Tribolium castaneum: one gene and its partner. The protein of the gene in region 2 purifies or fractionates together with the protein of the main gene of each other region. This does not show direct contact. Links are inferred from orthologs where the notes say so. Each region holds a gene or a part of one and is shown on either strand. Other genes may lie near its edges.

Evidence for each region.
Region 1: the proteins of Trmt6 (region 2) and Trmt61 purify together in Homo sapiens (affinity purification with mass spectrometry; 4 studies listed by BioGRID and IntAct, counting the BioPlex papers as one, with this or other methods). This does not show direct contact. The link is inferred for Tribolium castaneum from reciprocal best matches to the Homo sapiens genes TRMT6 and TRMT61A.

What each region holds. Positions count from the first base shown.
Region 1 is NC_087397.1:4,479,358-4,482,526, reverse strand, and holds Trmt61 (tRNA (adenine(58)-N(1))-methyltransferase catalytic subunit TRMT61A), read right to left. Parts: upstream 1,687-3,169; 5' UTR 1,586-1,686; coding exon 605-1,585; 3' UTR 530-604; downstream 1-529. UniProt on the Homo sapiens protein: Catalytic subunit of tRNA (adenine-N(1)-)-methyltransferase, which catalyzes the formation of N(1)-methyladenine at position 58 (m1A58) in initiator methionyl-tRNA.
Region 2 is NC_087401.1:9,933,134-9,937,063, reverse strand, and holds Trmt6 (tRNA (adenine(58)-N(1))-methyltransferase non-catalytic subunit TRM6), read right to left. Parts: upstream 2,590-3,930; 5' UTR 2,438-2,589; coding exon 1,247-2,437; 3' UTR 1,239-1,246; coding exon of another isoform or gene 936-1,238; 3' UTR 823-935; downstream 1-822. Other genes in the region: Vps50 (syndetin), read left to right, coding at 936-1,238, 2,607-2,765, 2,821-2,942, 2,992-3,181, 3,230-3,343. UniProt on the Homo sapiens protein: Substrate-binding subunit of tRNA (adenine-N(1)-)-methyltransferase, which catalyzes the formation of N(1)-methyladenine at position 58 (m1A58) in initiator methionyl-tRNA.

The DNA of each region.
Region 1 (3,169 bases), on a different chromosome or scaffold from region 2:
GATGTATCATTGTTACAGTATGAAAATAATAAATCTGATTAGGCTAATGATCTAATTTATTTTCTCCACAAACATTTTTTTGTTCTTTTTAATAAAAACGACCAAAATTCGTTGTGTTCTTATGTATTTGAATAAATGGGATTACACAATACATAAAACTAATTACTATAAAACCGCAATTGTCCTTTTAATAGTCAGTTTATAGAGGGTGTCTCAACTAAAACTTGCACCCTTAGATATCGCCATAACTAAAAGACTCTAAATAAAAAAGCATCAAATGGGGTTAGAATTATGTCTTGCTGTGAAAAACGACTAATAGTTTTCGAGAAAATTGCAAACAAAAGCAAGAAAAATTAAAAAAAAATCATAACTCAAAAACGATTGGAAATTTGGCGATTTTCTCGACGCCAATCGATTCCCCGGATCATTTTACATGGGTATACGTCAAAATAGTTTATTTTTTTGGGCAATTTCGACGTAATTGAGAAAATAATAAAATACATAGGGACGTGTACACTAATAAACAAAATCACAGTAAAAAAACTTTATTAAAAATTAAAATACTACAAATACGTGTCCTTAAAATAAATAAAATAGGTATGTTTTATAAATCGGGGGAATTGTCTTCTTGGGCCTGATTTAGGCTGATTTGGAGACTCCTTGCCCAGACGGGGGGCAACGAGGCGAACGTTAGATAGCCCGTATGTCCCGGCATACTTGCAGGTGGAACAGCCGTAACACACTTCACAACTTCCCTCTCTTTACCCTTTGTCTCCGTTCCATCCTTTTCACTTTTAAGGAAATCCAAATCAAGCACCGGCAATTTCCTTGTCTGCACAGAGTAGGAAGTTTGCAAAACTTCCATTGTCTGTATTTCTTGAAACCCTAATTTTGACAAAACCTCACAACTCTTTTGTACTTGTTCAATACACGGCGAAAATGAGCAAATGCGCCCCCCTGTTTCTTTGATTACGTTCAAAGTGTGTGGTATTGCTTGCCAAGGATGTGGCAAATCTAGAAACACTGAATCCGCTTTATTCTCTAACTCATCCCCAAATCCACTGGAGCAAACGTCCCGTTGACTGACGGTGACATAGTCACTTAAGCCATGCTGGGCGAATTCTTCTCGGACTAGTTCTACTCTGTTTTTATGGAAATCAAAAGTGTACAAGTGTCCGGTTGGTTTCACAGCTCGGATTAGGGCATGGGACAGGGAGCCACTCCCGGTACCACTCTCCACAACGATACTACCAGGAGCAATTTCCAGCTGAAGGATAATCATGCTGATATCAGGCGTGTAGATTATTTGGGTTCGATGGGGCAGGGTTTGGGTCCACAATTCGGGGGTGGGCTGCATCACGTAGCCCCAACCTTTACTCAGAGTGATCTTTGAACCGTAGGGCTTCCCTATCAAATCAGCACACTTGAGAGCCCCATAAGGCGTCTGGAACACATTCTCTACTTCTACTCCTTTTTTACTTAAAGTTTTAGCTTCGGCACGAATACTGTAGATCTGGCTTATCGTCAAATAAAGAATTACTGTATCGCCCTCGTCTATCACTGCTTTATAATCGTCGAAACTCATCGCGAATTATTTCAGAATATTAGGTTAGGTCCTAGAATAACACTTTTATAGAAGCGGAACATAATGGTTGGCAATAAATTCCTAGCTGAAGCCATCTAGCCGCATCATCACGTACTAAAAATGGCGCAAATTTAAAATAATTCCGATTACTTTGTATTTTTTTAATTTTTGCTCACGTCAAAATGATGTCAAAACCTTATCAAATACAATTATTGAAAATTTCCTAATTGTATTTGAAAAGGTGGATGCACAGACAGCACAGATGGAAGAATTTTACCCAACATGACACGATCACATTTAATGTTAAAGATATTTATTAAATCCATTAAGTTTACAAAACTAATAGTCGTCACCGAATCGATGATAACGACATACTTGCAATCAGCCAAACTGGCACCGGTCTGGCACCTTATGTTTGCAACTTCTGTCTATGGGAGTCTTCTCGCAGTGTGACTCACTTGCGGTTCGATCTCAAAAAACTCACTTTTGGGAAAAACGCACCTATCTACGTAAACCTTCTGGAGCTCATTACTACGTTATATTTTTAGAGATCATGTTGTTCCTAACCGATAGTGGGCAATAGTCTAACCCAAACACGACACCTTGATCCACTATCTTAATAAAACTTTGAAAAATTAACGTGATATTATAAAAAATAAACTCAAATTTTGCTGACGTTTGTGAAATTTTTACTTGTCAGCTGCGCATCGGTACCACGTTTTTCTTCAATAATCTGGAATTTTAAATCCGCCAATAGGACTTCTTTTTCCCGTAAAACACTAGGGCCATCTATCCTCATCATCAGTAAAACCTATTTCAGTGAGGGTTCGATTCGTAAAACCTGTTATTCTGTGGATTTGGCTATATCAGTTCGGAATGCCTGGTTGTATCCCTTAAAATCAACAAAAATGGCGATTCAAGTAAAAAGTGAGTGAAAATAAAAATTATTTTTCTAATGTTATTTTCAATTTGCACAAGAAAATTCATAGTGTACGGTCATCAGGGCACTCAGAGGAATCGTTTGGTGTAAGTTTCAGCTTGAAAATCCAGAAGTAGTTAAAGTAAAAAATTACCAAGTTATACTTTATGTTTTATTACGTGGTAAAGTTAACAACACACGTTAACATACCCTTTATAAACGTTTAAACACCCTTTTTCATGAAAAGGTTGACACGAGAAGTGCATTTTTCAATAAATCTCACTGAAATTTATGTCGTTGACTCAAGGTAGATTTGTCTGTCCTTAAACATGTTCAATAATAATTAATAGCGCTCTAGAAGAGCAGGAAAGCACACAAAAAACATTAAAGTTAAAATTTAACACTTCAGAAGAGAGCATAATACACCCTAACCCTACTTTCTGAACTTTTGTCCTTATCTGGCAATAGCACATAATAAAGGTAGAGATTTCGACCCTAAATATCCTATCATAACGCTCTGAAAGGGCAGAGATGGAGACAAAATTCATAAAAGTGTAAATTTTGTCATTTTCGGGTGACAACATAACCCTACTTTTGGAACCTACCGAATTTTCAACAAAACGAAACAAACAAACAATGTGGCTATACGCATTGCGATACCACTA
Region 2 (3,930 bases):
GTAACAAATCGTCCTTAAAACATTTTTCATTTAACCTAATTTAAACATTTTTGCATTTAAACTAATGAAAAACGAAGTAGATGTTCCTGTGCACCTTCCTGTACTTGGCAAAGGCTAACATTCACTTCAAAACAATTCTAACTTGTCGCATTATATATTTTGGGAGGATATTTTCTGTTTTCACATTTTTTTTTACAAAAAGAAAATGCTTCTACGAACTAATTAAAAATGAGTAAAAAATATTTTTGAAACTTTTTATACCTGGTGAAAATAAAATAACACGTTTAAAGAGATTTATATTAAGAATATGTACTGAAAAAGTAATTTAATAATCTGTTACCTCTGCAAGATTAAAAAATTCTACCGAAAAATAATTATATCTACTGTGTGAACATTTGAATTTATAATTAGAGTAGGCGTGTTTTTTCTTTGTGATTGACACATTAGTGCAAACTGAGGGAATAAATTAATTCTAATTAAATATTACCGTTGTAAATATATTTTTCTGTTGTCCTAACTTGGACTTACCAAATCATTTGACTCCTGAATATGTATGATAAAATTTTATACACATTTTTAACGTAATAAAAACATTTATTTTTATTTACAAAAATAATGAAAAGAAACAGAACTTAAATTTTTTTTAATTATTTTCTAATAACCAATTTTTTCTTTGTTTCTTTCGTTCCTAAAGAGGTTTACGCATATGTCCCAGAACTCATCTGAAAAAGAGTAAAAATCGAGTTTCTAAGTTTATTTTTGTTAAATTACAGTTTCCTGTAATTGTGACATCAGACTATAAAAATTAAAACAAGAAACATGCAAATACAACAACACTTTATTATTATTCTATGAACATTTTTCAAATTTGACGTGTTCTCATAGAAAATAAATTTCCTATTTACAATTTTTTAGTAGAAAATCAATTATTTTAGACCGTCGCTAGCAACTCTCTCTACACGCCCGAACTCACCCAAACGTTGAAAAAAATCTCCGACAATCTAGTCACCGAATTCGAGGAACCGCCCACTGACGAAACCCCGCCCAAAATCCTAAAACCCGCCCTCTCACCAATGGTGGACCTCACCAAACCTGAACACTTGCACGGATTGGCTGAACGTATCGTGGGCGTGGAAAGTGTCATCTTTCTCGCCAAACAATATGAATATTTACAGGAATTCCTCGAGTATTTAATCCCGCCCACGAATAAAATAATGTTGCAACAGTTTTTCACACAGGTGAGTCACTATTTCAATTTAAAAGCCGTTAAAATGTAACCACCGGTTGTCATGTTCACTTCTGGATGCGTCCTATTGGCCAACACTTGATAATTACGCATAAAGTTAGTCACGATTTTTATATGAATGAAGTCGAGTTTCTCCTTAAGGTGGAGGTATAGGTCTTGAAGGGGCTCGCGTGATTGGTTGAAAACGATAAGGTTACGCCCACCGGTCAGGAATTGGGCCAATTGCGAGACGAGGGCGTTTGGGTGTTCTTTTGAAGCGATGATAAGCGAATCCACGCCTTTGTTGAGTAGTTGACACGCCCGCTCGTTCTCGATTTGCCAGTTGGGTTTCTTTGGCTCCGCCCCCTCCTCGATTTTCATTTTTTTATTAGCAGGGGGGTCGTCAAATGTTTCTTTCTGTTGGTAGTAACAACGTAATACTGAATATAAGTTAACGTTGATGCAACGATTGAGTTGTTCGGGAGGGAAGTTCATAGCAACGAGGGCACTTTTCTGGCATTCGTTCCCCGGGTGTAGGTGTATCAAGTGGGCGGGGCTTCCGCCCCCTAATTGGTGGAGCAAAGCGGCTGGGAGGAGCCCCGAAGTGCCACTATCATACAATAGGTGGGTTCCTTGTGATTGTATGTTTGAATAAGTCAGGATTTGGGATAAGTCATCGATTCGGATTCCGAGCGTTTTGCTCGGGTCTTGTCGGTAGAACATTGTTGCCAACAGGCGAATTGTGGGCCGCCTTATCTGGACATATTCGAAATATTTTTTTTCTTTCTTTTTGATGTATTTCTCCTGGCTGTATTCAGTCTTCGAGTTGAACGTTTTCGAATTATTGATCAGTTTTTCAACGATTGAATTCGAGTTAAGTTCCTCACTTTTGAGCTTCGAAATATCTTCAGTTGTGAGATTTTGTGATTGTCCATCATCGGTTATATTACGATTGTCGAGGCCACTTTTCTCGATGTTAATCGACGTGATTCCGGGCATTTCGTCCACTTTTTCAAGCGTGAAAAGCTTCCGATTGCCTGGAAAATTCTTCATTTGGAAAGTTGCCCCATATTTTTCCCCCACGATGTTATCCAATTCGACGGTGAAACTACCAAGCGAGAGGGTCCCATGAGCCTTCAATTTGTGTAGTTTTGTGTACCCCTGACGTTGCACTATCACAAAATCACCCACTTTTATCACATTTTGATCCATGCTTGATTTTTGAGGTTATGTACTTTGGGGTTATCAAACGTTACTAGTAGAAAAAGATAGCGCAATTGAAAATCAACAAGGACGACAAAGACGGGTTATTGGTGCTTTCAGAATGGCACCATGACCGATAAAATCCCCTAGATAATTTAAAATTAATTAAAAATTTTAGAACATTTCGAGCGCTAAGGACCTACGAAAGCCCGTTTACATGTCCGTGGGGGCGCAGGCGTTCGATTTGCGTCAAATTTTGGTCTCAATGGCGAAAATTAACTGGGAGGTGAAGGAAGTCATGTCGCAACACAACACCTACATTGACCGAATCCTCCGAGTAATTATAATAAATTACAAATTGATTTAATTAAACTAATTGCGTATAATGTCAGGAGGTGCAGATTTTCACATTGCGGTTGGAGGAAGTCGCTCACAAAGTCCCCGTTTCTGTTGAAGTTTCCACGTCGTTGTGGGAAAGTATCGCCCATATAATCACCCACACGTTGGTTCAAGGGTAATTAATTGATTGCAATTGCAATTAAGTGTAATTATGTGTAATTAAGGTTCAGCGAGGCGAAAAAGTGTTCAAACGGGGGGCGGGCTCTAATGCAACTTGATTTTATCCAATTTTTGTCCAAGTTTGAAAAAATGGCTGGTTTAAGGCCCGTTCCTCATCGCGAATATGTGGAAAACTATATAAAGGCGTTTTATTTGCCCGAATCTGAGTTGGAAAAGTGGATTAAGGAACATGGGGTGAGTTGGAAAGTAGGTTGTTTGTCGTTTTAATTTTTTTTTTGTAAGGAATATTCGGCTAAACATTTGTTCGGGTTGGTTTCCTGTGCGTGTCAGAGTAATAAGAAGACGAAACAGAGGCTTCTGCAAGTGATTGATGAGGGGGACAGGGGGGATAGGTAGCCTTTGCTTGATTGTGATATTTGATAGGGCACAAAGTGACATAAAGTTTCAATTATTTTATTTAGTTTTTTACATGAGCAGGCACTATTTATGTTAACATTTTAGGTTTAATTAATAATTATACACAAAAATGAATTTTTTAATTACATTGAATTTTGTAATTCAAAAATCAATAAAATTTATTAAAAACCAAAGTTGTGGCTTGTTTTTTATTTCCATTAAAATTTAATATACTTATGAGTAGATACTACGGGTATCTAAAGATTAGGATATGAAACGACGTACAAATAAGAAGTTCACGTTTTCGCTAGCGGTGAAAAAATATAAGTGTTTTTCAAGAAAAAAAAACGGAAACTTTTTTTTTTTCAAAAAGTACTGTTTTAATTGTTTTCAAATTAACACATTATGTAATTCCATGAAGCTCATGAACATTTTTACGTTGGACAAAAACACTTTGCTTGTTTTTGCGTTCAATAAAATTACGTTTTTTTTTCTCCTGTTTTGACATTTTACGGTGGACCACGGATATCTATAGGTTAGGATGCGAAACGACGTACAAATGAAACGTTCCCGTTCTCGATAGTTAC